Xenopus tropicalis: one gene and its partner. The main gene of each other region encodes a partner of the protein of the gene in region 2 in a complex. Links are inferred from orthologs where the notes say so. Each region holds a gene or a part of one and is shown on either strand. Other genes may lie near its edges.

Region 1 (16,117 bases), on a different chromosome or scaffold from region 2:
AGTGAGAGGATACATTGCTAATAAATGGTGTCGCTATCACTTTAAATTAAAGAGGACACATGCTTACTTCTTTCTGAGCCATTATGTGTCTTTAAGGAATGGTATGAAGCCCAGGGGCAACTTCAAGCACCCCGCCGCCCCCCCAGGGCAGACCTTCGACGGCACGCAGGGAGCTGCAGTCGCACAACAAGTGCCCCTGCTACTAGAAAACAGCACAGAAAGTGCATGAACCCTGTATAGTGGTAGTTAATTACGTCAAAGTACTGCAAGGATATATTCTCCATAAACAAAAATGGAAGTTAAAAAAAAAAAAAAAAAAATACCCCACAAGTTACAATTACGTTTTATAAATACAATACAGTATAAAACAAAGATAAAAACAGACTTAACCCTTCTGCTGCCAGAGGCCGCTAGCCCGCATCTAGCAGTAGGAAGGTTAAATAAAATAAAAAAAAACTACTTTGGTGATGAACTGATAATGAAGACACGATCACCTCTATTGTCTTCCCAGTAGCGCCCCCTTGGGGCGGTTTAGTGGTATCGGTAGCGCTTTGTGGTAGTGGTACGGCTACACTGTAGTGGTTACGTGGTCGGGGGGGGAAGAATCAAACGGCTGGCTGCTAAAAAATCTTTCTAGCAACCTTCTTTGGCCCTCAAGTCAAAGATAAAATCATAAAATAAAATACACAAATTAAACAATTATTGTTGCCACTCAATCAATTATACAAGCCCAAGTCAGCTTGATGCACTCCCATATAGCCACAGTACAAGCCTGTATGTCTGCCCTGTATCCAGGTATATTGATACCTGGATACAGGGCAGGCATACAGGCTTTTAAGGGGCAGCTGGAGTAAAATGTAATTTAATATGGTGGGATAAGGGACCAGTGAAGCTACTGGGCTTTCATGTAGCAGAGATTCCATGTTATCCCCATAACCGCCAAGAGGGGGCAGGCTTGCTCTGCGCCTAAGCTTGGCACCAGTCGAATGGAGGAAAGAAAGGGTTAAAAAAAAAATAAAAACAATTAAGAACCATTCTCTAAAATCCGCTGGTCTGTGCTCACGTGCATTTTTTTTTTTTTTTGGTATTAAAGACCTCTTCCTATCCTATCCGTCTATTTAAGGCATTTTGTGTATTCCATTTGCAAAAATAGATATTTATATAGAGATATATATATATATATATATATTTGTACAAATTACTGTTTCAGTGGTCATGGGATTTCTTCCACACAAAAAGGCAAGGGGATTGCCCTTTCCGGGGAAGGATGGAAATATAAGCGTTACATTTATGGCACAAGTATGAAGAGGTGTAAAAAGGGTTAAGAAAATATAAATATTTGTTGTTTTTTTTTTTATCGTCTCTGTACAAACGTCCATTGTCGGAGACCCTTCTGCCCTCCTCTGGAGGGGTTCATGGTTCTGGAAACTATACACAACGGGGGCCGGGGGGTTAGATTGGGAAAGTACTCTCTCTTCATACAGTATTTACAGAGTGGGGGGGTCTCAGGAAGAGTCTGTACAAGGTGACGGAGGAGGGGGGTAAAGGTGGTGAGAGTAGCTTCGTTCCGTGTAGGGAGAGGGCGGGCAGCTTTCGTAGTTCTCCTCGGCTGAAAGGTACTGGCTGCGGGGGGTTGGAGGCGGAGGCACCGGTTCCGAGTCGTAGTTGAGATCGCTGGTGTAGCCCTTCGCCGCGGCGGAGGTGATCCGGTGGCTGGGGGTGTAGTCGCTGTCGCACACGTCGGTGCTGCAGGGAGTTGTAGGAGGGGCAAAATGCCGGTAGCTGTAGGGTCTGTAGCTGAGGAAGAAAGAGAAACATTAGGAAATATAGCAGACTGCTTTTTATCCCCAGGAATATAATGATTTTGACATGTTAAGGTCCCCATACACAGGCCGATTCTAGCTGCCGATATGGGTCCCTTAGACCGATTCGGCAGTTTATCGCCCCGTGTAGGGGCACTAACGACGGGCCTGTCTGACTGATATCTGGCCTGAAATCGGGCAGGTTTAAAACTTTAGTCGGATCGAGGACCGCATCGGCTCGCTGATGCAGTCCCTGAACCGACTTTGCCTATACCCGTCGTTATAATTTGATTGTTTGGCCCCAGTGCCAAACAATCAAATTAGCCCGGATTCTCCCGATATCGCCCACCCGTAGGTGGGGTATATCGGGAGAAGATCCGCTCGCTTGGCGTCTTAAGGTGTATGGGGACCTTATGTGATGTGGGGTAGTGCACAGTGTGTGTCCAATACACATGGGGTAGTGCACAGTGTGTCTCCAATACACATGGGGTAGTGCACAGTGTGTGTCCAATACACATGGGGGAGTGCACAGTGTGTCTCCAATACACATGGGGGAGTGCACAGTGTGTCTCCAATACACATGGGGTAGTGCACAGTGTGTGTCCAATACACATGGGGTAGTGCACAGTGTGTCTCCAATACACATGGGGGAGTGCACAGTGTGTCTCCAATACACATGGGGGAGTGCACAGTGTGTGTCCAATACACATGGGGTAGTGCACAGTGTGTCTCCAATACACATGGGGTAGTGCACAGTGTGTCTCCAATACACATGGGGGAGTGCACAGTGTGTGTCCAATACACATGGGGTAGTGCACAGTGTGTCTCCAATACACATGGGGTAGTGCACAGTGTGTCTCCAATACACATGGGGTAGTGCACAGTGTGTCTCCAATACACATGTTTTGGATTCACTCCCACGGTCGTTACAACTCGATCGTTTGTGTATATATACACAGGAACAAACGGAGCACACCATCCAGAGAATCCAAATCCCTGGGTGCTGGCAAAAGCAGAGGGCCGCACACACTGGGACTTTGCAAAAAAAAAAAAAAAAAAAAAAAAAGTATTTATTGAAAAAGATCCGACGTTTCAAGCACTAACGGCGCTCTTCTTCAGGGAAAAACTGTTTTTTCCCTGAAGAAGAGCACTGTTAGTGCTCGAAACACACAGGGACTTAGATATATATATGAATAGCCCCAAGCTGAGCTGAGACTGCCCCAGCAACAAAGAAGCAGCCAGTTGTAGAAAAAAAGTCCCTCTCTAGTAGCAGCCTACAGCAGGGCCTTCTAGATACTGTGGGGGGGGGACTGGAGTAAAAAATGCACTCACCTGTATGATCTGTGGGTGGAAGGACTGTTTGAGGAGTAACCAAATTCCATTGTGTAATGGGAACGCTCCGTGGCTGGGGAGGGAGGTGGGTTCAAGATCTATAACCAAAGGAAAAGAATATTCAGGTTTATGGAACATCTTCTGTTTATGTATAAACACCGTATGGGGTAGGAAACACGGCAGCTGGATACCTACCGGTGGGAAATAGGTTCCTTTAGTGCTGGAGGAGCTGCTGGATGAGGCTCCGGTCACATGAGCCCGGTCATACGGTGGCCCGCTGCTTCCAGCCATAATGCTGAGAGAGCTGATAACAGATTTCCCACGAGACATCCCTGTGTTAAGCAAGAGAGTGCTTAGATAAGTGCTTTCTGCATCAGCAGACCTTAGAAATGATTCATCACTGCATTGTTAAACTGCAACACCCCTTTGTATTTCACCCTCATCTGGCGCAGCGGTTGGATCCCTGTTACTTAAGCTGGTTTCAACAGAGTTTAATGGCTTTCTACTAATGAATGGCCCATGGAAAGTACAGCTCTGTGATCTCTTCCCACAATGGCCCGCAGCTGTTACATGACACTGCTGCGCACACAATGCAACAAGATGCTCTCGCTGTTTAATAGAAGAACTGGAAACTTTGCTGCATCCTCGCATTAAAGGCAGCGGGAGGATAAAAACCCCACAACAAAGGGGCGAGAAGGAATCATCGCAAGGAGCCAAGCTGCAGGGGATCTTTTTTTTTTTTATCCCCACCCCTAGATTTATTTCTGTTTAACTTTGTATGTGAGCTGGAGAATGCACAAAACCACATGAAAGGCCTCATAACAAAAAAACCTGCGAGTGGAGGAAATGATCCATTACAAGCAGGTTCCTGCATGGACTGGCAGTCAATACAGGCATGGGATCCCTTAACCTGTTATCCAGAAAGCTCCAAATTATGGAAATCCGGTCTCCCATAGACTCCATTTTAATCATAATAATTTAGAAATTTGAAACGGATTTCCTTTTTCTCTGTAATAATAAAACAGTACCTGTACTTGATCCCAACTAAGATATAATTACCCCTTATTGGGGCAGAACAGCCCTATTGGGTTTATTTAATGGTTAAATGATTCCCTTTTCTCTGTAATAATAAAACAGTACCTGTACTTGATCCCAACTAAGATATAATTACCCCTTATTGGGGCAGAACAGCCCTATTGGGTTTATTTAATGGTTAAATGATTCCCTTTTCTCTGTAATAATAAAACAGTACCTGTACTTGATCCCAACTAAGATATAATTACCCCTTATTGGGGCAGAACAGTCCTATTGGGTTTATTTAATGGTTAAATGATTCCCTTTTCTCTGTAATAATAAAACAGTACCTGTACTTGATCCCAACTAAGATATAATTACCCCTTATTGGGGCAGAACAGCCCTATTGGGTTTATTTAATGGTTAAATGATTCCCTTTTCTCTGTAATAATAAAACAGTACCTGTACTTGATCCCAACTAAGATATAATTACCCCTTATTGGGGGCAGAACAATCCTATTGTGTTTAATTTATGTTTTATTGATTTTTTTAGTAGTCTTAAGGTATGAAGATACAAATTACGGAAAGACCCCTTATCCGGAATACCCTTGGTCTCGAGCATTCTGGATAACAGGTCCTATACCTGTACAAGAGCATTCAGCATTATATTTATTGTATCTAAATGGAAAGAGTACCATCTTGGAAAATAAACAGCAGGCATTTTGGTGCTGGAGTCACCGGCTCTGTACTCACCAGGCAAGGATCCAGTCAGGGAGCTCGGATGTGGCACGTATGCTAAGGGGACGGAGGCGGGTCCATGCACCACATAATCGTTGGCCATGGTCTCCCCGTCTCCTTTCATGCGACGACACAGCACTCGCTGACAGATAAAATACACTCCCCCTACTACGAATACGGTGAGGATCACGCCGATGATGGAGCCGATGGTGTTGGTCGATGGAGGAGGTGGTTCCTCTGTGGGATCTGGAAAATGTAAAATAAATTGTGTGGAGAGTTGAAGAGTAGGCCTGGAGAGAGCCTTTAGCCTTGCAGATTAGGAGAGGTATGCACAGCTTGCATCAAGGCAAAGGTTCAAATACAACTCCCAGAATATCATGGCAATATTTGGCTGATGCTGATAGTTGCACATCAACATCTAAAGGGTGAAGACACACAGAGCTACTAGAAGCAGCTACTTTTTCACACCTACTAAGCACCAGAAAATCCCCTGCCATAGACAATACAGAGGATTGCCTCTGCTAAAACACATGTAGAGACAGTTATCAGTAAATGATCAGCATTGTCTATTTTAGTAGCCACGACAAGTAGCTGCTACTAGGGCTACTGGGTGTCTTCACCCTTCAGGGGTGCTAAAGTGCAATGGCAAGCTTGAGACTCCCATGCAACTTTTAGGGTAAAGACACACAGCTACTTAGTAGCAGCTACTTGTCACGGCTACTAAACCCCAGAAAATACCCTGCCATAGACAATACTGAGAATTGCCTCTGCTAAAACACACGTAGAGACAATTATCAGTAAATGATCAGCATTGTCTGTTTTAGTAGCCACGACAAGTAGCTGCTACATTAGCTCCGTGTCTCTTCACCCTTAAATACAAGTCCCAAATCTCTGCAGGACCCCGAATGTGACATGCCAGGTTTGTAACAGAACACACACACTATATGACTTTTTGCTGACAACTTTATTACTGAAACTTAGGCCAGCAGTTATAATAGCAGCACTTACAGCAAGCTTGCTCGTCTGAGCTGTCACTGCAGTCCGGGCTGAGGTCACAACGCCTGTGCTTCCCGATGCACTGTCCGCTGCCACAGTGGAACTGGTCTGGAGCACAGACTTCTGCAGAAAGACCAGAAAAAGCATCTTCATTATTAGCAGCCTTCATAATTGACTGGTTCAGTGTGTCAACTTAGCTTATTCATTTCACATCACTGGTACCTTAGGGGTAAAGACACACAGAGCTACTTAGTAGCAGCTACTTGCCATGGCTACTAAAAGCCAGAAAATCCCCTGCCATAGACAATACTGAGAATTGCCTCTGCTAAAACACAAGTACAGACAATTATCAGTAAATGATCAGCATTGTCTATTTTAGTAGCCACGACAAGTAGATGCTACTAGTAGCTCCGTGCGTCTTCACCCTAAAAGACACTGGGGCTCATTTATCAACACTGGGCAAATTTGCCCGTGGGTAGTAACCCATAGCGACCAATCAGTGACTGGCTTTTTTCAGCCAGCTGCATATACAACAATGAATGCAACAATTTCATTGGTTGCCATGAGCTAATGCCCATGGGCAAATTTGCCCAGTGTTAATAAATGAACCCCACTTTCTTTTCCCAACAGGCCTCTTTTAAGAGTGCTTTCACAAACTCTTCAATGCATATAAGGGGGGGGATTCAAACACCAACAAATGAATGTCTGAATAAAACCATTTTCAGAAGCAAGCCCGTACCATTGCAGTTTTTCTCATCAGACTTGTCCTGACAGTTGGCTTCTCCGTTACAGCGCAGAGAGGAGTCAATGCACTGGCCGCTGGCGCACTGGTACTGCGTGTCCGAGCACATGGGGCAGTTCTGCTCGTCGCTGTGATCCTCGCATTCTGTAAAGCCGTCGCAGCGCCATTCCGCCGGGATGCAATCAACCTCGCCGGTGAAACAGGTGAACTGCAGGGGAGAGCAGGTAGGAGGCTCTGTGGGGAAAATAAAGGAAATTATGTTATACCCACTTAATAACATTTTAGGGTACATCTAGATATACGCAAAGAATAGACACATAAAAAAAATCAAAATATAGCCACAGGATTGGATGTCCCAATTGTAACCACTAGATGGCAGTGTCAGAAAGCGGAAATGCACACACATGCTTTCTCTGGGTAATTCTGCGTATAGTAGCAATACCCTGTACCCAATTTTGTATCAATGAAAGAAACCAGAAGACAAACCTTATATAAAAACAAACAGGGTGTGTTTTTGCAGTTACCGTATGGCCTGAATACTATAACAGACAGAATCTAATCCCTTAATGGCCTAGCACAGGCACTAATATTCTGTTACACAAACAATGACTTTCATTGAGTGCTCTGACCTCTAGTAACCTACAAGCAAAATAGAGCAAATGTGACCCAGGGCGAAGAGCCGGCCGGTTACAACAGAAGCCTCTGGCAGTGGAATCAGAAAAGAACACAGTATCATGGGGTTGTATAGCTTTGAGGGTCCTCATTGTAAGCAGCAGTCCTGCCCTGCTTTATGGCTGAGATTCTAGCTATCTGTATAACAGAGCATTCTGTCACAGTGGCACAGATCCTATCTGATCCCCCCATTGTAAGCAGCAGTCCTGCCCTGCTTTATGGCTGAGATTCTAGCTATCTGTATAACAGAGCATTCTGTCACAGTGGCACAGATCCTATCTGATCCCCCCATTGTAAGCAGCAGTCCTGCCCTGCTTTATGGCTGACATTCTAGCTATCTGTATAACAGAGCATTCTGTCACAGTGGCACAGATCCTATCTGATTCCCCCATTGTAAGCAGCAGTCCTGCCCTGCTTTATGGCTGAGATTCTAGCTATCTGTATAACAAAGCATTCTGTCACAGTGGCACAGATCCTATCTGATCCCCCCCCATTGTAAGCAGCAGTCCTGCCCTGCTTTATGGCTGAGATTCTAGCTATCTGTATAACAGAGCATTCTGTCACAGTGGCACAGATCCTATCTGATCCCCCCATTGTAAGCAGCAGTCCTGCCCTGCTTTATGGCTGAGATTCTAGCTATCTGTATAACAGAGCATTCTGTCACAGTGGCACAGATCCTATCTGATCCCCCCATTGTAAGCAGCAGTCCTGCCCTGCTTTATGGCTGAGATTCTAGCTATCTGTATAACAGAGCATTCTGTCACAGTGGCACAGATCCTATCTGATCCCCCCCCATTGTAAGCAGCAGTCCTGCCCTGCTTTATGGCTGAGATTCTAGCTATCTGTATAACAGAGCATTCTGTCACAGTGGCACAGATCCTATCTGATCCCCCCCATTGTAAGCAGCAGTCCTGCCCTGCTTTATGGCTGAGATTCTAGCTATCTGTATAACAGAGCATTCTGTCACAGTGGCACAGATCCTATCTGATCCCCCCCCCATTGTAAGCAGCAGTCCTGCCCTGCTTTATGGCTGAGATTCTAGCTATCTGTATAACAGAGCATTCTGTCACAGTGGCACAGATCCTATCTGATCCCCCCCATTGTAAGCAGCAGTCCTGCCCTGCTTTATGGCTGAGATTCTAGCTATCTGTATAACAGAGCATTCTGTCACAGTGGCACAGACCCTATCTGATCCCCCCATTGTAAGCAGCAGTCCTGCCCTGCTTTATGGCTGAGATTCTAGCTATCTGTATAACAGAGCATTCTGTCACAGTGGCACAGATCCTATCTGATCCCCCCATTGTAAGCAGCAGTCCTGCCCTGCTTTATGGCTGAGATTCTAGCTATCTGTATAACAGAGCATTCTGTCACAGTGGCACAGATCCTATCTGATCCCCCCATTGTAAGCAGCAGTCCTGCCCTGCTTTATGGCTGAGATTCTAGCTATCTGTATAACAGAACATTCTGTCACAGTGGCACAGATCCTATCTGATCCCCCCATTGTAAGCAGCAGTCCTGCCCTGCTTTATGGCTGAGATTCTATATATATATGATTAGCAGTAATACAAAATAAATCTACACAGCACTCACCCCCACAGGACAACTCATCTTCCTGCAGAAGGACAAGGTGCATCGGGCAAGAACAGCGGGTGGTTCCATCTCCTTTCACTATGCAGATGTGGGAGCAGCCCCCGTTATCCTGGGAACAAGGGTGTTCCTCTGTTAAAACAGAAAAGGGAAAAGAACAATGAGAAAACAAGGCCATGATTCCAAATTTCAAAGCTTAATACCCCAAGATTTGTAATTTTACTAAATAATTCTAATATTTGAAGTGGTTGTTGCTTAGCAACTCCAAAACGTATCTACAGAAAAGGAAATTAGTATTAATAAGTGGATACTAACTGTATTCGTCCATGCTCAGTTCTGTCACAGCATGGATATCAGTCAGCAGAGGGATACGAGCTTGGATCTTGGTGCGACCCACGCGTCCGGTTTTCTCAATGCGCTCAATCATTTGTTGTTGCCGGTCAATCCAATACAGGTGATTGCCAAAAACAGTGAGTCCGACTGGCTGCAGCACGTTAGAATCTTCTAGAACTATGCGATGGCCACCTGGAAAGTACCAGAGAGCAGTGTAAGCGTTGACCAATAACATAATTAAAGGCCATTTTACTGTAACGATCAAAACTAGGTATGCAAAAAAAATATGTAATAAATGCACTTGGAACAATGAATGAAGTAGGAATCACTCTATCCAAACGGAAAGCATGTGATTAAAATCACACAGCATTCTTACTTTCCCATTAAGTTGGTACTAGACCACAGAACGGAACCATACTAGAACTCATAACTGTCATTTTCAGTTTTAGTCCTATAAATTCGCTATTCTCGCACTTTACCGGATAGGTCACTGCTTTCGATCCTCCTCAAGTCAGAGTCGGCCCAGAAAAGTTTCCCCATTTTGTTGTCGAGCGCAAGCGCCACTGGTTTGCTCAGGCCGGTGAAAAACAGCACCTCTCGCTCTGTCCCATCAAGAGCAGCTCTTTCGATTTTTGGCGATCGCTCCTGGAGGTTGGTGAAATACATGTACCTAGAAGATCAAAGCAAATGGGAGTTTCAATGCAAAGCTGGTTCAGAACCCCTACCGGCCCATTAACCTGGAAGTGTAAATGGTTCACAATATTTAATTTTTTCAAATTATACACCATATCCCAACTCCATAAGCAAAGAAACTACCCACACAGTCAGGAAATCAAGGCAGATCTGCCCCAAAACAGACAAATTTATATTGGTCATTTTTTGTTTTTGAACTCAGGGTGCTGAACTCAGGGTCGGACTGGGGGGTGAAGGGCCCACCGGGGCCCGTGCCCATAGCCTGCCCATATGGCCAACGCCCATAGCCTCCCCCCCCCTGGAGGGGCCCCCCTAACCCCCCTCGCAGGTTCCCCCACCTGACGTTCTTCCCCGAGCGCGTAAATTTAACACGTGGGGACAGGAGCGGTCGTGCAGGGGGAGCGCCACAAGGGTTGGGTCTGGGCCGCTGGGGCCCACCGGGATTTTTACCGGTGTCCCGGTGGCCCAGTCCGACCATGGCTGAACTTTTTCACAAACAACTGACATTTATACTGTAAGAACGGACTTCTGCAGAAATTTATATTTATTTATTTATATTGGTCTTTTTTGTATCTGACTTTTTAAAAAACTGTGGTTATGCTGACGAAGGGAGGGAGCGCCCCCCCACCCCGAAACGTTGATTATTTTTATGGTACATTGGCAATGGGGTAAGCTCCTCAGCTGAAATTTTGCTTGAGTGCAGTCTCTATTTCTGCTTTGTTCTATACATTGTTGGGGCGTTGCCATACATCTAGAAGACTTTGCACCACAGAAAATTGCGGGTGAGTGCAGCTGTGCCCCAAAACAAACCATCTTGTGGGTGGTTCTGTAGGTACCCACCACCACAGACCTGATTGTAGATCAGGGAAAAAGAATAAACTATGCGTAGATAAAGTTCTGTATTTCCTACCCTCTCTCTGGATTCACAAGGATAGCTCTGGGACGGTCTTGTTCTCCCTTTAGAACCACCCCGATGGCTCTCCCGTCCAGCCGCGTGACGTTGATGACATTGGTGGCTTCGCAGGTCCAGTAAATCAGGCGACTGTAGACATCGATGCTCAAATCGTACGGCTGCATGTCTATATTCTGGTTGGGGACGGTGCTTGCCACTACGGTCATGCTCTGTGAAAAGGGACAGGTAAAGAATAAAAGGATGTTGTTAGTATCAGTGTTATTTGTGCAGCTTATGATGCAGACTGAAACCTGCTGATGTCCCATATCCATAACCCTTGTGATACACAAGCTAATCATATGAAGACACAATGCCGAACATTCTTTACAACACATATATACATATATACAATATACAGATGGGAGAAAGCCATGTGACTCATAAGGTGTTTAAACTCATGATGTTCTAGATCATGGGTCCTCAAACTTTTTAAACCGGGGGCCAGTCCATAGTCACTCAGTCTGTTGGGGGGCCAGACTATATTCAGTCCTCAAACTCCAGCCCTCGGCCCCTGCGCCCCGCTGTGTCTTCACCCCTGGCTACTACCTGTCTGGAGTCGCACCGGCCAACTCTAATTACGTTGGACGCGACACCCTGGGGCTGAGGACTGGTCAGACAGGTAATAGCCATGGTTGAGGACGCAGCAGGGCTGGGTAAATGATCTTGGGGGGCCACTGGACCCTAGCAACCAGACAAAAAGCTAAACAATTAAATAAAATAAAGCCCAATTGAGGCTAATTGTACCTGGCTGCCATCTTCCTGAGCCCGGCGTATATTCTGCCGCGAGTCAATCCAGTAGAGCTGCTTCTCCAAAGGGTCGTAGTCGATGGCTCGGACGTTGCGTAGGTTGTGAATGGGCAGGATGATGTCGGGACTCTGCTGCTCATCGATCACCATGCGGTTTATGGCATTTTTCTGACTGAAGAGCAGGAAGGAACTTGGAGCTGAAACACACAAAACCCCATTAGTTTTCTTTAGATTGATGCGTATTTCACGACAATACATTATGATTTTAAATATTCCATCTACTAGAGAGATATTATCTATATATTATCAATATATATGGCTATATAGAGATATATATATATTATATACTTTTACTACACTGCTCAGTCTCCTTAATGGCATTTTGGAGATCTTGGGTCATGCAGCAGGGCAGGGACGTGTATCAGCCCAGCATTTCATCACAATAACCCCCCCACCACCCCCAAAGCCAGCCACAGAATATGCTTGACTTACGACTGCAGGTTTTGTTGTCCGCATTCAACGAGTGGTGTACCGGGCACCCACAGGTATAGCCGCTGACAGGTGTGGCCAAGCATAGATGAGAACAGTGACCATTGCTGGAGGCACACTCGTTCCAACCGGCCTGCCGGGAAGAGTGAAATACTAGGATGTCCATGACGTAGTCCAGGTCATTCTGGATCATGGTCCGATTCTGCCCGCTGGTCTTGTTGGCTCTCTCAATACTCCGTTGGCTCCAGTCTGTCCAGTAGATATAGTCCTGGTACTGGGTTAACCCAAAGGGGTGGGGCAAGTCGTCGGCAATCACTACCCGGTCCAACCCTAAGAGCACAAGAGCATGATTACTAAAGGCAACATTTCAGCTGAATACATGTGGCATGATCATTTAACAAAATTATAGAATTATTAAGTATAGGATCAGTGGTGTTTGGCCTTCTCTAAGGCCAAACAGAATAGGCAACAATGACAGAGCATTGATAAACAAAAGGTGGGCAATTAAGAATGCCTACTGACCCATTTATGGGGTATATGGCTGACCCAGAACTACTACTACTACTACTACTAGTACTAGTCAGCAACAGGCTATATTTTGGCTACTTAACTATTTAATAACATATAAAAGCCATTAAAAAGGGGAAGAAAAATAATCCGTTCCCATAAATTTTAAAGCGGTACGGTAAGAATTACAGATAGTTATAAGACAGAATGAGAGCATCGTGTCAATTTTTGGATTTTCTATTTGGACAAACCAACACCTAATGGGTTAAATGATAGAATGGAAACCCATGTGTTTTAGAATTAGGAATAAGGTATGTTAATAGCTGGTATAAAATACGGGCTAGATAGTGTTATGTGATATTTGATTTGTTGCATTTATTTATTTGCTTCATTAGGTATGGCTTGTATTTTTATTGGTTATTACTGGAGTTAACTTCTGCCACTAAAAAGGAAGGATTTTTCGTCGGGGACTTGTTGATGGGGTCCCCGAACCGACGGACGCCTATACCAGCTGTTCTAATTCGATGGTTTGGCCCCAGGGACAAATGACCGAAATAGCCCAATATCACCCACCCGTAGGTGGGGATATTGGGAGAAGATCCACTCGCTTGGCGACATCGCTGTATGAACACTGATAAGTATATGTAACCGGATCCAGCAGATTGGAAAAAGGCTATTTGCCCAATAAGCTTTTTTTAAAATCACGCTTGTGAGTAGTAATTAAATGTTTTTTATAATCAACACTATTAGCACTTGTAACTTTCTTTTTTTTTTGTCCAAAACAAACGTGCCTGGCCCTTTAAGAGCAAATGCCATAAAGCGTCAGGGCGTAGGGGATGCGCAAGGCACGGGGAAGATGCTGATAGAAAGGAGGCTTTTGTACAAAGCGGATCAGTTACTGAAAACATGATGTTAAACATTTCCCCCTGCAGATAAATCCTTTTTAATGCAAATCAAGTGCGCACAGCGAGCGGAGCTTGGCACCTCTCCACGTACAGGCGGGCTCCGGCGCAGCCGGCCGGGTCTGTGCAACGGGCTGCAGAATGAGCAGCACAGCTGGGGGGGCAGCCGCTTCACCCCTATAGTCAGTCCTATGCAAACATAAGCCTGACTATAAACAATAATAATTAGCTGGGTTATTAGGGCAAAGACACGTGGGGGGAGAACAGGGAGGGAATTGCTTCTCACCCAGCATATTTGAAGATTCAATAAGATTAGTATCCAGATCCGTCCAGTAAAGCCGCCTCTCCGCATAGTCAATTGTCAGCCCGTTGGCCCGGCCGACATCCGGCACCAGAGTGATGCGCCCACTTCCATCCATGGCGGTCCTGTCAATCTTTGGTTTTCCACCCCACTCAGTCCAGTACATAAACCTACAAGGAAAGAAACAGAACATATCACATACAATTCACATACTATTCACAATATTATCATCACAAATGGACCTTATTTTACATAGAGGACCAAATAGAAGGATAAGCAATAAAGACTACTTACAAACTGTATAACTAGATCAGCATCTCAGGGTAATACCAGAGTGGGCTAATTCAAACTTAGGGGGCTGTTCCTGCTGAATTGTGCTTAGTACAGGGGAATCCCTATGTGCCATAGTTTTATGGTATCTCTCTGTACAGGCTATGAGCAAACTTAGGGGGCTGTTCCTGCTGAATTGTGCTTAGTACAGGGGAATCCCTATGTGCCATAGTTTTATGGTATCTCTCTGTACAGGCTATGAGCAAACTTAGGGGGCTGTTCCTGCTGAATTGTGTTTAGTACAGGGGAATCCCTATGTGCCATAGTTTTATGGTATCTCTCTGTACAGGCTATGGGCAAACTTAGGGGGCTGTTCCTGCTGAATTGTGCTTAGTACAGGGGAATCCCTATGCTGCCATAGTTTTATGGTATCTCTCTGTACAGGCTATGAGCAAACTTAGGGGGCTGTTCCTGCTGAATTGTGCTTAGTACAGGGGAATCCCTATGTGCCATAGTTTTATGGTATCTCTCTGTACAGGCTATGAGCAAACTTAGGGGGCTGTTCCTGCTGAATTGTGCTTAGTACAGGGGAATCCCTATGTGCCATAGTTTTATGGTATCTCTCTGTACAGGCTATGAGCAAACTTAGGGGGCTGTTCCTGCTGAATTGTACCTATTCTGGGACATACTTATGCTGGCAACATTTCATGGTATCTCTCTCAACCCCCGAGATTCTCTGAACAATAACACAACATCCCTGGGGTCAGTAAGCAGACAATTGTGCATTTTCTGGCCAAAACCCAGACAGATGCTGTGCCCACAACATGCAGGGAGGGCGGCAGCAGAGCAGCAGTTTCTCTGTGGGTGTATTTTTATCAGGAGCAGATTCTGCGCTTCGGGAGTGTGGGACATAACACATGTTATGCCTATGAACATTGCAAGCCTAAATGGCCATACAACAGGCAAATATTTCACATATACATTTAAATGCTGAATGAGAAGAACGATAAAGCAGTAATTATAGAGTTAAAATCCCTAAAACATTAGGGGGCTCACTCCCCAGGCTTGCAGTGATATACGCTACCCTCTCCCAGTGTTCTGCCCCCACTACAACTGCCCTGACCTACTTTAAACTTAATATCAGTTAACAGGGAAATGGGATAGGGCCCGGGTCTGTCTGGCTCAATTACCGGCTCATATTTCATGTTTGTGTTCCCACTGAGGATAATTAATGATACCAGACTGTAGCCTGCGCCCATAATGTGGCTTTGTCAGGGCCAACAGAATAGCGCACAAAGAGCCCCGGGGGGACTGACAAACACACACAGGATAGGATAGGGTCGGGTACGGGGGGGAATTTTTGTCAACCAATCCATTGCTAGTACAGGTATGGGCCATCTCCCATAGACTCCGTTATAAGCAAATAATTCTAAATTTTAAAAATGATTCCCTTTTCTCTGTAATAATAAAACAGTACCTGTACTTGATCCCAACTAAGATATAATTACCCCTTATTGGGGGCAGAACAGCCCTATTGGGTTTATTTAATGGTTAAATGATTCCCTTTTCTCTGTAATAATAAAACAGTACCTGTACTTGATCCCAACTAAGATATAATTACCCCTTATTGGGGCAGAACAGCCCTATTGGGTTTATTTCATGGTTAAATGATTCCCTTTTCTCTGTAATAATAAAACAGTACCTGTACTTGATCCCAACTAAGATACAATTACCCCTTATTGGGGGCAGAACAGCCCTATTGGGTTTATTTAATGGTTAAATGATTCCCTTTTCTCTGTAATAATAAAACAGTACCTGTACTTGATCCCAACTAAGATATAATTACCCCTTATTGGGGCAGAACAGCCCTATTGGGTTTATTTAATGGTTAAATGATTCCCTTTTCTCTGTAATAATAAAACAGTACCTGTACTTGATCCCAACTAAGATACAATTACCCCTTATTGGGGGCAGAACAGCCCTATTGGGTTTATTTAATGGTTAAATGATTCCCTTTTCTCTGTAATAATAAAACAGTAC
Region 2 (16,758 bases):
AAAAAAACACAAGCATCAAAATTGTCACGTAGTTTCGCAAATTTCTTGCCGTTGTGTGCATTTTTTGTAGTTTTGTCAATTTTACAGTAACATTTTTGAGTTTCGTGAATTTCATACAATTCACGAAACTACAAAAAAATGCGCGCAACGGCAAAAAAGTTGCAAAACGGTGGAAAATTCATTGAGACTACGTGACAATTTTGATGCGTGTGATTTTTTTTTTACACGTGCAACATTTGTGACGCAAGCACGCCTACTTTGATGCGACTGCGCCTTTTTTGACGCGCCCACTAATCCCTCACCTGAGTGAATCTGTCCTATTTCGCCATAAAATTCACGAAACTGCTCAAAAAATCACGAAACATAGGAAAATTTGCGAAACGCACAAAATTACGTGTGCCAAAAAAAATTGTAACGTACGGCTGTTTATATTTTCTGCACTACTGGTTCTGACTCTTGAACCAATGTAGCAGCAGCCGGCTGAACCCCATCCGTTGCACAGAGAGGGATAAACAAATGCTGCTTCCAATGCTGCAATTAATGTATATTGGAAAGATGATTAGAATTCCACGTTCTTTCATTATACAAAGCTGTTTTGGGGTGGAATTTCCCCTTTAGGCAGCGATAAGCAGAATGGCATTCAGTATTCCTTTGTTCTTCCTGCCATCCAATAGAGTGGCAAGAGTGTTACCTGTGCAGGCTGCAGCACGTACACAAGTTGGGGGGGTGCAATTGGAGATGGAGCAAAAGAGTATGGGGGCAGGGTCAGACTGGGTCGCCGGGACACCGGGAAAAATCCAGGACCCTTTGCCGACGCTCCCCCTGCCCGACAGCTCCTCCCAGATGCGTTAAATTTATGCGCTCGGGGGAGGACATTGGGTGGGGGGCCCTGCGCGGGGGGTTAGGGGGGCCCCTGCGGGGGGGCGGGGGCTCCTGCAGGGCCCCTGGGGCGGGAGCCCCAGTGGGCACTTCACCCCTCAGTCCGACCCTGTATGGGGGTGTACTGGGCAAGCTGGGGGGGGGGGGGGCAGGAACGTGTTATGTTGTTCAGGCCAAACTGCAGGGAGGAGTCTGAGGGGGGAAAGTGCCCCCTTTTCAGGGCTTTTTCATATTCATATCCTGGTGTTACTGCCCCTTAAAGGGTGAAGACACACTGGGCTACTAGTAGCAGCTACTTGTCACGGCTACTTAACTCCAGAAAATCCCCTGCCATAGACAATACTGAGAATTGCCTCTGCTAAAACACACGTAGAGACAATTATCAGTAAACGATCAGCATTGTCTGTTTTAGTAGCCACGACAAGTAGCTGCTACTAGTAGCTCCGTGTGTCTTCACCCTAGTACCTGCGATGCTGTACCCCCCATATTCAGTGAGAGGATCCTGCACCGTGTAGTTCTTTATAAACCCCAATGTGCAGTGAGTAGGAAACCAGTGGCTCAGTTTGGCCGCTCCGGCCCGGGGCTTAGGCTGCCGTTTCATTCGTTTAAGCCTTTAATGAGATCTAAGTTGGGAGGCAGATAATGGATTGACTTTAGTATTATCCCTTATGTTAGATTAGGCTTCAAAGGGCCTGATTATCTGTTCAATAACTGCCGTCATTACAGCCTCACTGGCGACACTGTATGAATCAGTATAGATAAAACCTGTCGCTTTTCTGCTCCTCCAATGAAATATTAGCATTTGGCCCTCGTTGTTTCATTTAAGGGTGAAGACACACTGAGCTACTAGTAGCAGCTACTTTTCCATGACTACTAAACTCCAGAAATTCCCCTGCCATAGACAATACTGAGAATTGCCTCTGCTAAAACACACAGGCAATTATCAGTAAATGATCAGCATTGTCAATTTTAGTAGCCACGACAAGTAGCTGCTACTAGTAGCTCCGTGTGTCTTCACCCTAAAGGTTACATGACTTCTATCTGCCTAGCAACCAGCTAAAACACACACAAACATATATATATGTGCGTGTGTTTTAGGGCTCTGGCACACGGGGAGATGGCACCCTGTTCGCGGGCGACTAATCTCCCCGAGTTGCTATCAGTTGTCATCCCACTGGCGAAAATGTAAGTCACCGGTGGGATGGCACACACGGCAGCGCGATTTCAGCAAATCGACGAAAATGCCTCGCGAGGCAACTTCGACGATTTGCCGAAATCGCCTGCGTATTGTGTGCCATCCCACCGGTGACTTACATTTTCGCCAGTGGGATGACAACTGATAGCAACTCGGGGAGATTAGTCGCCCGCGAACAGGGAGATTTGTCGCGGGCGACTAATCTCCCCGTGTGCCAGAGCCCTAAGGGTAAAGACACACTGAGTTTCTAGTAGCAGCTACTTTTCCATGACTACTAAATGCCAGAAATTCCCTGCCATAGACAATACTGACAATTGCCTCCGCTAAAACACACGTAGAGACAATTATCAATAAATGATCAGCATTATCTATTTTAGTACGACAAGTAGCTGCTACTAGTAGCTCTGTGTGTCTTCACCCTAAAGGTTACATAACTCCTATCTGCCTAGCAACCAGCTAAAACACACATATATAGTTAGCAATATAAATGTTGGCCTAGTTAAAGATATAATAACCAATGCAGATTTTCATTAAAGGGGAAGTAAACCCTATTTTCAATTAGGGTAGTTCTCTGGCTACTTTCCCTAACAGACTGCTGAAAGGGAGTTCCCCCATACCAGGTCCTAAAATGTAGAGTTGCCCCGTGGGTCAACTCTGATAGGTAGCCCCCCCCCCCCATACAAGGTCCTAAAATGCAGAGTCGCCTCGTGGGTCACCATGTCTGGACGTCATATCCTTTCAAAGCTTCTCTGGAGCTCCGACCGCTATGGACCTCTGCCCAGGAACAAGCAAACTGGAAACCAGCAATGGAGGCTGGGAAAGGAAGTGATGCAACCGGCATGGTGGCCACCAATCATGCTGCACAGGGGTCCTCTTGTGTAGCATGAGGTTTAGTTACCCTTTAATAAATAAGATATTTCCACCGCTAATAAATTTAAGCTATAAAGTTCTTATATTGTAAAATCCCCAAGGTCCAAATACTGCCACGTGCAAAAAAGAAATCGGTTTGGAAATGTTTTATTTCAATTAGAAATACAGACGTACTAGACGTTAAAATCTACATAATATTTATATAGATATATTTATATATAAACAGGGAAGAGCGAGTCGGAATGTACAAGGCGGCCGGTTACAATAGAGAGGATCATGTACATTTTCTATACACAGATATTTACAGCTGTTCATCATTATTAACCAATTTACAACACAGTAATTTACTGTAATTAGGAATTAATAAGAAGTTCCTATAAAAAAGAAACAAGTTGTGCAGCTCTGGGCTCGGGGGGGGGAGGGACCAGAGCACTTCATGTAAACTGATACGCCCCCAAAGGCAGAGCGACCAATGTCCTTATTAGCGGCCAATGTCCTTATTAGCGGCCAATGTCCTTATTAGCTTAATTTAGAGAAGGTCCTTCAGGCTCTGCAGGCCTCACTTAGTGTCTCTGGCAAGTGTGAAGTCTCGAGGTCTTAGGGACGGTCGTAAACTCTCCCTTCTGTAACCGACAGGAGAGTCCGGCGCCGCAGTGGCAACGCTGGAAGATCTCCAGCCCGTGGGAGCCTTTCCTCCTGTGCTTGGTGCACACTTGGCCTTCCTCAAGCACCGGCTTGCAGATCTTCGACCAGAAGTGACGGGCGCAGCATAGACCTGGGGCGCAGTCGGTTGATCTGAGGCAGACGTCACCATCACGACCTGTTGGGCAGAAAAGAAAAAAATATTAGACATGATTATATGGATATTAATGGGCCACCATACCAAGATATATTGTATACTAGCCAATATAGGGAATAATGTACCCCCTACTATAAGTGATAAGGATATTAGAAGTCACTGAGGGGTTCTGTGCCCATATAAAGGCACAAGGCTGCAGGCTGAGTTATACAGGGAACTCTGAGTATCACTCATGTATTATAAGGGATAATGTACCCCCTACTGTAAATGATAAGGATATTAGCAGTCACTGAGGGGTTCTGTGCCCATATAAAGGCACAAGGCACAAGGCTGAATTATACAGGGAACTCTGAGTATCACTCATGTATTATAAGGGATAATGTACCCCCTACTGTAAATGATAAGGATATTAGCAGTCACTGAGGGGTTCTGTGCCCATATAAAGGCACAAGGCTGCAGGCTGAGTTATACAGGGAACTCTGAGTATCACTCATGTATTATAAGGGATAATGTACCCCCTACTGTAAATGATAAGGATATTAGCAGTCCCTGAGGGGTTCTGTGCCCCCCATATAAAGGCACAAGGCTGCAGGCTGAGTTATACAGGGAACTCTGAGTATCACTCATGTATTATAAGGGATAATGTACCCCATACTATAAATGATAAGGATATTAGCAGTCACTGAGGGGTTCTGTGCCCATATAAAGGCACAAGGCTAAGTGCTAACATTATAATGGTTTATAACAGGGGTGCATTTTTCTTTATAATACCAGTGACAACCCTACGCACAGAATTTATTGCATGGTCCCTAAATGCTTTCTATACTCATTGCTGACATTAAACCCACATATAATAACCACGTTCTACAGACCCAGCACTCTATAGCCGCGTATCAGCCAACAGGCTTACCTTTAAAGGGCTGCATTCCCGAAGGGGACGTGGTTAATTTTGAATGCGTATCCATTGTTGCGTGATCGGCGTTATAGTTTTCCAGAATGGTTTCCTCCAGGTATCCCTGCTGCTGGAAGCGCTCTTGATCTTGCTCCACGGGGACACATATTCCTAAAGGGGGGGGGAAAGATGAGTTTAGATGAGTGCAAGCCCCCCGCTCCGAGCCACCGAACCTCTTTCAATACCTATTCACATAATGCAATCACCTGCAGCCCCTTAAACGATGCAGGACAAGGAGACAGTGGGAATTAGTGATGCCCTAGTGAGCCCCATAGAGCGCCCAAACAATAGGCGACCTACATGCTCAGCAGGGCAGGCAAAGCTAACCTACAATTGCCCAGGCCGGGGGCCATTACCGATTGTAATGCTAATCGGAACCTCTGGGTTGTACTGGTTTTAAGAGAAAACCCTCATGTTGCCTGACATTGTCATCAATTAAGGGGGCAACGCCATGTAGACGTGAAATGGGGGGGGGCTTTTGATGTCAATTAGCGAGGCATTACTTTCAACGTCAGGGTAGATGGAGGCGGCGTACACCTCGCGGTTCTTTTCATGTCGCTTATAAACAAATGCCATTATGTAATGACGTGGGCTAATTGTGCTCAGGGAAAAAAAAAAAAGACTTTGATCAGAACTTGACAGCTGCTGGAGTGGCTTAAAGTCGGAATTTCACCTTGTACTTTAGCAGCAAGTACATCAAGACAGACTAATGACATGTGGGGGTTGTCAGTGTGGCAGACAATTAGGCAGATGAGCTTTGCTCCGGATCATTTAGTTACCCTTTAACTGCTAGTAAAGGTGTCTGTCACCCGTACAAATCGCATACGGTCATGAAAAGATTTGCAGTTGGTCTTATTTTTTTTTTTGCATTTTTGAAAAGTTTATTTTAGTTTATGTTACTATAGTAACAATAAACATCTAGGTGATCATTAAAAAGCTACTAAGGCAAAACTTCCCCTTGGGCACAGGATCACAGTATAAATTATAAAATGTCATTATGGGACAACGGAGTCTACTTAGTCCCAATGAATAACATTTTAATGTTCTGTAAATGGAGAAATAAATCCTTGGGATGGGATTTGAACCTATAAAATTACTTGTGCCATAGAAAGAAATATATCACGGAATCAAGTATTGAGACCATCATCCTACCCCCCCCCCCCCCACCCCAAAGGCCATGACAGTGGTAACAAAAGCCCCTTACCGTTGCTACAGTAGTTGCCGGTGCAGCACATTGCGTCCCTCAGGCAGCGCTTGCGGCGTTTCCGGCATGCCAAGCAGACCAGGGAGTTGCCATTTCTGGAACTGTGGCAGAACTCATCCAGGGCACAGTCGTCATCTTCTGTGCAACCGTAGAGCTGGGGGGGAAACAAGAGGAACAGGTACTTTAGGGTGGGGGGGTATCAGGATATGTATTGCTCCAGTGCAAACACAGGTGTGTATCCAAAATATGGCAATAAAGGGCAACTAAAGCCCTATGAGAGGTGGGGGAAATGAAGCTTTCAAAAAATAACAGTATACTGTGGGGAGATCACAGAATAATACAGGAAAATGACAGAATGTGTGACCAAAAAAAACAGGGGAATGACAGAATGATAAAGGGAAACAATCACAGAATGATACAGGGGAATGAAAGTATGGAAATCACAAACCAATACAGAGTATTTTAGGCAAACATGGAATGATAATGGGCAATGACAGATGAAAAACACAAGGAGAAGATTATACAGAATAGTATCAGGAGCAATCACAAAATTATAGAAGGAGATGACAGAATGCTGTAGGAAAAACCACAGAATGCTTTTCTGTCACTACACATGAGCCAATCAGCTGAGCTGACAGCCCTTGCATCACTAGAGCAGCCTTCCCCTTCTGGCTTGCACCCCAGCTAGCATGTAAGGGTTAAACACCAACTGTCAACTATATTCCTAACAGTCAGTTCCGACTGTCACCCTCACTGCTCAATACAGTTGTTTAACAAGGTAGAGATGGAACAGTAACACTATACTCTTTCATAGACAGAGATAGATAGATAGATGATAGATAGATGATAGATAGATGATAGATAGATAGATAGATAGATGATAGATAGATAGATAGATAGATAGATAGATAGATAGATAGATAGATAGATAGATAGATAGATAGATAGATAGATAGATAGATAGATAGATAGATAGATATGGATAGATGATAGATAGATAGATAGATATGGATAGATGATAGATAGATAGATAGATAGATAGATAGATAGATAGATAGATGATAGATAGATAGATAGATAGATAGATAGATAGATAGATAGATAGATAGATAGATAGATAGATATGGATAGATAGATAGATAGATAGATAGATAGATAGATGATAGATAGATAGATAGATAGATAGATAGATAGATAGATGATAGATAGATAGATAGATAGATAGATAGATAGATAGATATAGATAGATAATATAGTAAAGACAGTTAGACACAACCAGAGGCTCTGAAAAACATTGCGAAATGGAAAGGCTATACAATGTATCAAACTATTACGCATTTGACAACGTTTCGGGCGCATCATCTAAACTGTATGCAGAGCCCTACAGTATCTATACCCATAGGAATAAAAGTTGATTTCCCTGATGAGAAGAATAAGAATGACCCCCATCCTTCCAGCCCAACGTTTCGGACCCCCATCCTTGCAACCCAAGAGGCAAGAAGCATCTGACGCCGGACTTTACGCTTTATGGCCACTTACCGGGTAGGCATCCAAAGGTTGGTATTTGTTGGCAATATCATATAAGGAGTCCGGACTGACACTGACAGGGTAGTAGCCAATGGGTTGCCCAGCCGGGGCCGCTGGGACGTTCTTGATGGAGTTGGAGTTGGTCATCATGACAAAGCCAAGTGCCCCATCCAAGATAAACCCCCCCAAGGCAAAAAGAAGCATCAGGAACATCTCGTCCATTCCTCTGTCCCAGTAACCAATAACGGCAGGATAAGTCCTCCGGGGATAAGTCCCTTGGGTGCTGCTGAAGACTTGGGTGCTGCTGATGGCTAGGGTGCTTGGGTGCTGCTGAAGGCTTGGGTGCAGCGCCGGTTGTGACTGCTGCGCTCCGTGCTCAGTTCTGGAGAAGCCGCCGAGGCGCAGCGGTATTTATAGCGCAGGGTTTGTTTGCGCACACGCCCCTCCGCTCAGAACAACAAAAGCCAAGGAATTGGGATTTCAAAGCCCTGGGATTTATGACGCTCCGGCAAAGCTTAAATCACAGGGCAGACTGGCAGCCAGGGATTTCACAATAATTGTAATTATCAATTAATTCTTTTTTTTTTTCTTTTGCAAGATCACACAGGGCTTCCTGCAGAAGGGATTGCGCAAGCCATAAGGATAAATGAGGGAAAGCCTTCATATTTTATCCTATTATCGCATCAGCGGCGTAATCGTGATTTTATATGGTTACAGGTACTGGGGTGTGTAACTGGGATCGATCCCCTGTCCTGTGTTACACTGCTGGCCCTTATAGGCACTGGGGGTAAATGTGGCCCCTAGGATTAAATGAACTTTTTAAACTGCTTTGATTCACCTGATTTATTCAAAAGGGACTGGTATATAACAAGTTGCCCAAGGAATGGTCTGTAGCCATGTAGGGTGCTGAATACATGGGGCCCTCCCTGCAGATATTTGGCAGTACATGGTTATTGAATTTGACATTTTAGGTGGCCCAAATAGGTTGCGCTGCTGGGGGCCACACTGAGCTGCAGTTGTCAGTAGGAGGAGATAGGGTATAGTAGGAGTTGAGGGCAGGGTACCTACAAGAAGGCAATATATATGGTAGAGATAGGGCAATATGGTGGTAGTAGGGCAAGATGGTAGCCATAGGGCAATATGGTGGTAGAAGGGCAAGATGGTAGCCATAGGGCAATATGGTGGTAGAAGGGCAAGATGGTAGCCATAGGGCAATATGGTGGTAGTATGGCAAGATGGTAGCCATAGGGCAATATGGTGGTAGTATGGCAAGATGGTAGCCATAGGGCAATATTGTGGTAGTGGGGCAAGATGGCAGCAATAGGGCAATATGGTGCCAGTAGAGCAAGATGATAACTGTAGGACAAGATGGTAGTGATAGGGCAATATGGTGGTAGTAGGGCAAGATGGTAGTGATAGGGAAATATGGTGGTAGAAGGTCAAGATGGTAGTGATAGGGAAATATGGTGGTAGAAGGGCAAGATGGTAGTGATAGGGCAATATGGTGGTAGTATGGCAAGATGGCAGCAATAGGGCAATATGGTGGTAGTGGGGCAAGATGGCAGCAATAGGGCAATATGGTGCCAGTAGAGCAAGATGATAACTGTAGGACAAGATGGTAGTGATAGGGCAATATGGTGATAGTAGGGCAAGATGGTAGTGATAGGGGAATATGGTGGTAGAAGGGCAAGATGGTAGTGATAGGGCAATACGGTGGTAGTAGGGCAAGATGGTAGTGATAGGGCAATACGGTGGTAGTAGGGCAAGATGGTAGTGATAGGGCAATATGGTGGTAGTAGGGCAAGATGGTAGTGATAGGGCAATATGGTGGTAGTAGGGCAAGATGGTAGTGATAGGGCAATATGGTGGTAGTAGGGCAAGATGGTAGTGATAGGGAAATATGGTGGTAGTATGGCAAGATAGTAGTGATAGGGCAATATGGTGGTAGTAGGGCAAGATGGTAGTAATAGGGCAATATGGTGGTAGTAGGGCAAGATGGTAGTGATAGGGCAATATGGTGGTAGTATGGCAAGATAGTAGTGATAGGGCAATATGGTGCCAGTAGGACAAGATAATAGCTGTACGACAAGATGGTAGCAATAGGGCAATACGGTGGTAGCAGGGCAAGATGGTACTGATAGGGCAATATGGTGGTAGAAGGGCAAAATGACAAGATGACATGGCAAGATAGGAGCAGAATGATAAAATGGTGATAATAGGAGCTGCACTGGGGCAGAGACTGGTGTGAATGGTGTATAATCTCTATAAAGGAATAGAGCAGCACTATATATATGAAGAATAAAACAAGAGATGAAGTAAATGTACGGACACATAACAAATAAAAAAGGTGTCTGGGGCAGAAAAGGATTCGGGATCATCAAATATTGATTATATTAGCCAAGATCAATTAGTGGCTGCACTGAACAAAAGGTGTCGGGCTTCTGTGTCCCCCCCTTCTAACGGCCTCAGCCCAGACACAGGCACAATCAGATGGTGATAATGGGCCGCTGGTCATTAGCTCCTCGCATCTTGATTGGCTGCAGTGATAAATACTCAGTGCCCAAGTGATTACTGTGGCCGCCATCTTGCTTCCTCAGGTGCATTGATCACTCTGTGCATGTATGGGGGCATTGGTCAGGGGGAGACTTCATAGATAGATCAGTTGTTGTGCCAGGGGGTCTCAAATTGCCCCCTTTGGGGGGAAACAGTCACCTGTTGGGGGTGATGGAGACTTTAAAGATGAGCCCCCACATGGGCACTAATGACAATGGGCCTATGACTATTTTACATTTATCAATGCTGTTTTAGTATCAGTTTTCCCTGCAGAAACCTCTACCTTGAAATGGTTAATACCCCTTTTTAACATAACAAGTATTTGTGTATTGGGTGTGGGAGCCTATCCCATGATACCCAGTAACTCTGGGAAAATGTCTCTTAGCCCCATAATAATGAACCTCTGATTGCTGGCTGGGAATGCTGGGAATTGTAGTTCCCAACAAGGTCCTGTATTAATGAATTATATAGAAACTTTCATATATGAGAGCAAGGATTCAGGTGCTGCCTCTGTTTTATTACATGTCCGGTGGAAAATGTAAGCTCTGTGGGCCAGCAATTCAATGTAACTATACACCGTGGCAAAAAGGGTTCGAAATATATTTATATATAAGATTAAATTCAATAGAGTTCAGTTATAATGCAGTTAATTTAACCAGCATGCCTGCTTTTATGTAATGAAGGTCATGATAAATAAATAGTATATATATATTTATATATATATAAATACACAGTATATATATAGCCGTCAGTATATTCTAGGCAGAATACTTCCCTTCCCAGCGGCTCTTCATTTATAGCTGCCTTGGAATGTCATCAGTGTGACCCCTAGTGGTCGAATTAGTAATATGCCTGGACCATAACTAATACTTTGAAAGTACAGAGTGATGAAAAGTTCCAGTCATTAGTGAAGGAATGCCATTAACTCTTTAGTTGCCAGAAACCCTCAATTCCAGAAACAATTCCACAAGATTACAAGCACAAAAATGCAGTTTGATCTTTCAGTTCCAACGTACTATTACTGTATTAGGGGAGGGGTAATCATAGAGTGAAATCAAGAGCTTCAACTGTCTCATGTATTTGGGTGTTTTCATTTTTGTAGAAACATTGGGGTAACAGCCACCCTGCTATAGTTCCAGGGGTACCCAGGGCACAAATAAGCACTCACCCCAAATCCCCCCCTAACTGGCCTTCAGGCTGGGCCCCCTTAGCCCATAACAAGGTTACAGATATATAGAAACATTGGGGTAACAGTCACCCTGCTATAGTTCCAGGGGTACCCAGGGCACAAATAAGCACTCACCCCAAATCCTCCCCTAACTGGCCTTCAGGCTGGGCCCCCTTAGCCCATAACAAGGTTACAGATATATAGAAACATTGGGGTAACAGTCACCCTGCTATAGTTCCAGGGGTACCCAGGGCACAAATAAGCACTCACCCCAAATCCCCCCCTAACTGGCCTTCAGGCTGGGCCCCCTTAGCCCATAACAAGGTTACAGATATATGGAAACATTGGGGTAACAGTCACCCTGCTATAGTTCCAGGGGTACCCAGGGCACAAATAAGCACTCACCCCAAATCCCCCCTAACCGGCCTTCAGGCTGGGCCCCCTTAGCCCATAACAAGGTTACAGATATATAGAAACATTGGGGTAACAGTCACCCCGCTATAGTTCCAGGGGTACCCAGGGCACAAATAAGCACTCACCCCAAATCCCCCCTAACTGGCCTTCAGGCTGGGCCCCCTTAGCCCATAACAAGGTTACAGATATATAGAAACATTGGGGTAACACTCACCCCGCTATAGTTCCAGGGGTACCCAGGGCACAAATAAGCACTCACCCCAAATCCCCCCCTAACTGGCCTTCAGGCTGGGCCCCCTTAGCCCATAACAAGGTTACAGATATATAGAAACATTGGGGTAACAGTCACCCTGCTATAGTTCCAGGGGTACCCAGGGCAGATAATACTCTAATGCACATTATTAGGCCAATAGTGGGGGCAGTTTTGGTTTTAACAGGGGAATTTCCATTACCCTATTTATCCGGGGCAGGGAGATAGGGTCAGCACAGGGCAGATTCATAGTGAGAGAGTTCGAGGAGGAACGGCCTATTGCAATTAAAGGAAAATAAGGGCCACATAGCACAGAACGGTGTCTCCATTTAATGCGTACAGGACACAAACAAACACAGAGATGCTCCTATTTATCAGCGGCTGCTGCCGGGGTTATTATTATTCTGTGCAACAAGAAGACATGTATTTCCACACTTCAAAAAGCTGCCCTGCCGAATTTTTGGCATTCTCTGTCTATAACCTCAAATTTGAGTCATTAGCCAGGCACCGACGCTTCCCGATGTGAGGCCCAGATAAGCATTCATGTTTCCCTTATTAGTGCTCTCTCCCCGGCACAATAGCTGCGTGTCACCTACAAAGTGCGGCGTGGGTGCACACATCAAAGGGGGCCTCCCCAGCATTACTGGGCCCAAAACTATGCACCCTATGCACCCAATGCACCCTATGCAAACAAATAAGGGCTGGGGTCCGTGTGTCATATCCTTGGGCAGCGTTACATAAGAAAAAAATAATCATTTTAAAGGGGGACTCCACCCAAAACGATCAATCGAAAGCGATATCTATCCGCCTGGTCTCTGCATTGCTGGGTCTGACTACTGAAACAATGTAGCCGAAGCCGCTAATAAAAATACCTGGAGGAGAGCTGAGTTCTGCTACATTGGTTCAGTAGTCAGAGCCAGCAATGCAGAGAACAGAAAGGGATAAACGCAGTTACATTCTAAGTAATCAATGTATATTGGAAGGTTGCCGGAAAACATATGAAGGTATATTCTGTATATTAGTCTTTCCCATAGATAGGGTTGAATTGGGCCGGCCAGGTTAGGACTGGGGGGTGAAGGGCCCCCCACCCAACGTCCTCGCCCAAGCTCGTAAATTTAACGCGTCAGGGGAGGAGAGGTTGGGCAGAGTTAGCGCCGGCAAGGGTAAGGTCTGGGCTTTGGGGCATTTTTCCCGGTGTCCCAGCGGCCCAGTCCGACCCTGGGGCCGGCAGAAAAATCCCAGTGGGTCCCGGCGCTTTTGGGTCCCTCTGGCCCAGAACTGATCCCTGCTGGGTGCTCCGGGGCCTGCAAGTCCCCCTCTCCCGACGCACCTTAGTATGTGCTCTTGGGGAGAGGGTTGGGTGGGAGGTAGGTAGAGGCCCGGGGGTGTATGTGGGGGCCACAACAGGGGTCCTTGGGGGGGGTGCGGGGCCCCTGGGGCTGCAGCTCCCCAACTTGAGCAGGGGAAGATACAAAAGTGACAATCAATGCACAAAGCTCCATAGGCAAAATGGGCCCCAAGCTTATCATGAAACGATCATTTAAAAGTACAATTTGTCTATCAATGAAAAATGACCATTTCCAGCGATATCGTCAAATGGGGGTCACTGACGCCAACATAAAAAAAAACAAATGCCCGCTAAGGCTACAAGTTTACTGTCATTGCTACTTTTTATCACTGATTTTTATGTTAAAGCCCTCTCCTGTCTGTAATTCAGACCCTCATTTAAATCACTGCCTGGTTGCTAAGGTCATTTGGACCCTAGCAACCAAATAGCTGCTGAAATCCCAAACTGATGAGCTGCTGAATATAAAGCTAAATAACTCAAAACCCACAAATAATAAAAAATGAAAAACAGTTGCAAATTGGGGACCCCCAAAGGGTGCAATTAGGGGTGCAATTTGTATACTCAAGCACTTATGCCTGTTGCGTTGGTTAATGAGGGTATGAAGAAGGGACCCTGAAGAAGGTAAGTACCATGGGGTAATGGTTGGACACTTCTGTAGGAATAAGCTCCAAGAAGGGGATAGGTAGGCAAGATATAAATAACAGACTATGAGGGTGATGTAATAAAAGACGCTATGTTTGCCCAGGTGCAGTAACCTATAGCAACCAATCAGCAGGTAGCATTAAGGATGAAGACACACAGAGCTACTAGTAGCAGCTACTTGTTGTGGCTACTAAACAGACAATGCCGATCATTTACTGATAATTGTCTCTACGTGTGTTTTAGCAGAGGCAATTCTCAGTATTGTCTATGGCAGGGGATTTCTGGAGTTTAGTAGCTGTGAAAAAGTAGCTGCTACTAGTAGCTCTGTGTGTCTTCACTCTTATCAGAGGCTATTCTCAGTATTGTCTATGGCAGGGGATTTTCTGGAGTTTAGTAGCCTTGAAAAAGTAGCTGCTACTAGTAGCTCTGTGTGTCTTCAGCCTTACTGGTCACCACATTAAAAGCAAACATCTTATTGGTTGCTATGGGTTACCGCACCTGGGCAAACTTAGTGCCTTTTATTACATATGATGGTTTATTGGAGTCCTTTCTGGGTTTTTATTGCATTTAAAGAGATCATGGTTCCCCCCCTTGTCTTGTAGAGCCCTGATAAATGGCCCCGTGATCAGTAATGGGGCACTTTAGGCGGGTCCCTAGATATAGAGATTTTTGGCGAAATAACTCACCTTATAGGGGTTGTTTGGCTTTGAGTTAACCTTAATGTAGAGAGTGCTAATCTGAGACAATTTGCAATTGGTCTTTTTTTTTTAGGGATGCACCAAATCCAGAATTTGGTTCGGAATTCAAGCAAGATTTGGCCTTTTTTAGCAGGATTCAGATTCAGAAAATTTTTCACCACTTGCTTCACGCGCCCAGTTCTCTTTAACCCTTCCTTATCCTAATTTGCGTATGTAAATAAGGATTCAGTTTGGCATTCGAATGAATCTTTGGGGTTCGGCCATATCCTAAAATAGTGGCTTTGGTGCATCCCTAATTTTTTTTTTTTATTATTTATATGTGTGAGTTTTTTTTAATTATTTAATTTTTTGCTCAGCAGCTCTCCCGCTCTCCCATTTGGAATTTCAGCAACTATCTGGTTGCTAGGGTCTTGTTGACCTTAGCAACCAGGCAGTGGTTTAAATAAGAGACTGGAATATGCCTAGGAAAGGGGCTGAATGGAAGGATAAGTAATAATAATGTATGTATGTACGTCTTTATTTATAAAGTGCTACAGTAGAATACATTAATACAAACAGGGGGTTATTAAGATAATAATATATAAATAAAAAAGTATATTTAATACAAATAAATACAAGATACAGTTGCAATAAGTCAAAGACAGAAGAGGATGGAGGTCCCTGCCCCGTAGAGCTTACAATCTATATTGTAATAAGTTATAGTCAAATAGTCAAATACACAAGAGGATGGAGGTCCCTGCCCTGTAGAGCATACAATCTATATTATATAGATTATTATATATAGATAATAATAATTTTTTCGGTTGCCGGGGTCGGTGACCCCCCTATCTTAAAGCTGGAGGAAGTCAGAAGATGAAGGCAAGTATTAAAATGAAGACCAGTTGAAAAGTTGCTTAGAACTGGCCATTCTATACCCCTCGCACATGCCAACACTCAAACCCTACAGCTTCGGGCGCCCCGGCTGAGAATAAGCCCCACGGGCCTAAGGGTTTCAATCCCAATTGACTGAAGTGAAGAGAAGAGAGAAGGCGCTGCTCCCGCTGCCCCGGCCTTTGTTTTCTCAGCCCGCGCTGAGGCCTTTCAGCGGCTTTAAACCAAGCTTGTTTAAGGCTCCCTTTGATGAGCGCAGATCAAACAGCCCCGGGACCCCGGCTTTTAATCAGACATTAGCAAAGATGCCACTTTTTACAAATAGTCCGTTTGCTCGGCTTTTCTCAGTTGTCTTTTGGGCGCGCAGACATTGTGCTCAGCACATTCATCTAGTTAAGCGGTCGAGTAATCCCCCCCCCTACTTCTAAGGCTTCTGCCTCCCTAAATCCACTCAGCCTGTAATAGCCGCTATTTCCTTACAATGTCGTTTGCACGAGCAAACACACACGCTCCTAACTTCATTACTAACCGGCGAGGAAGAAAGGGGCATGAGTGTGGGGAAGCCGCGGCTTTGAAGCCAGAATGAATAGAGATGCTGATAGCGGAGGGAAGGAGATCACAAGCAGCTCGGCTTGAGTGACAGCTTAACCCCCTCTGATATAGAACTTTATAACTTCTATCCATGGGGGGAATAAACTGAGCACCCAGCCCTAACCGGACTACTTAAACGGCATGTCAACCCCAAAAATCATTTTTGTACCTAATAACTGGTTGTTACTTTTTAAACAATGTTGCAAAGGTCTGTCTCCTCCAGCGAGTCAGGTCTGTCAGGCTGCTGCCTTGTGTTACATTGTTTCATATGTCCCAGGGAATAGAAAAGAACAGGCAAACACTGCTTCTAATAGCAATTGTATATACAAATAAGTTGTTTAGAATTATGCTTTGCTATTATTTATAGACTGTAAGCTCTTTTGGGCAGGGCTCTCTTCACCTCTTGTATCGGTTATTGATTGCTTTATATGTTACTCTGTATGTCCAATGTATGTAACCCACTTATTGTACAGCGCTGCGGGATATGTTGGTGCTTTATAAATAAATGTTAATAATAATAATAATTAGGCAAAAAATTATATTTTGGGTTGACTTGTCCTTTAAACCAACTCTATGGAATTCAGCCCAGATGCCAGAAGAAAAAGCTAAAACAGCCTTAATTACATGGCCTTTAAACTAATCTATTGACTGCAATGGTGTTTTGTTGGAGTCATTATGTAAAGGGTGTTTGGGTTCCCATTGGAAGAAAAGAGTTGTAAAATAAATACCTATAATACTCGAGGCTCGTGAATAGCCGGTAACCTGTTCTTATAAACAGTGTTTAGTGACATAACCAGT

The links.
Region 1: the proteins of dkk1 (region 2) and lrp6 are in contact, whole or in part, in a crystal structure (PDB 3S8V), measured with the Homo sapiens proteins. The link is inferred for Xenopus tropicalis from reciprocal best matches to the Homo sapiens genes DKK1 and LRP6. Residues at the interface, in NP_036374.1 of Homo sapiens: Glu185, His204, Phe205, Trp206, Ile209, Gln218, Val219, Thr221, Arg224, Arg225, Ser228, Gly230, Leu231, Glu232, Ile233, Phe234, Arg236, Ser258, Leu260; in NP_001401174.1 of Homo sapiens: Arg639, Glu663, Ser665, Ile681, Tyr706, Glu708, Thr724, Arg751, Trp767, Gly768, Gly769, Pro771, Val790, Gly791, Arg792, Asp811, Thr812, Asn813, Leu814, Pro833, His834, Phe836, Trp850, Ser851, Tyr875, Met877, Arg1184.

Annotation. Positions count from the first base shown.
Region 1 is NC_030679.2:8,211,823-8,227,939, forward strand, and holds part of lrp6 (low-density lipoprotein receptor-related protein 6), read right to left. Parts: intron 13,978-16,117; coding exon 13,793-13,977; intron 12,428-13,792; coding exon 12,101-12,427; intron 11,806-12,100; coding exon 11,606-11,805; intron 11,032-11,605; coding exon 10,820-11,031; intron 9,887-10,819; coding exon 9,696-9,886; intron 9,409-9,695; coding exon 9,199-9,408; intron 9,016-9,198; coding exon 8,887-9,015; intron 6,859-8,886; coding exon 6,622-6,858; intron 6,006-6,621; coding exon 5,895-6,005; intron 5,133-5,894; coding exon 4,902-5,132; intron 3,467-4,901; coding exon 3,330-3,466; intron 3,233-3,329; coding exon 3,135-3,232; intron 1,798-3,134; coding exon 1,506-1,797; 3' UTR 1-1,505. UniProt on the Homo sapiens protein: Component of the Wnt-Fzd-LRP5-LRP6 complex that triggers beta-catenin signaling through inducing aggregation of receptor-ligand complexes into ribosome-sized signalosomes.
Region 2 is NC_030683.2:13,837,154-13,853,911, reverse strand, and holds dkk1 (dickkopf-related protein 1 precursor), read right to left. Parts: upstream 7,795-16,758; 5' UTR 7,649-7,794; coding exon 7,439-7,648; intron 6,054-7,438; coding exon 5,900-6,053; intron 4,807-5,899; coding exon 4,654-4,806; intron 3,765-4,653; coding exon 3,508-3,764; 3' UTR 3,076-3,507; downstream 1-3,075. UniProt on the Homo sapiens protein: Antagonizes canonical Wnt signaling by inhibiting LRP5/6 interaction with Wnt and by forming a ternary complex with the transmembrane protein KREMEN that promotes internalization of LRP5/6.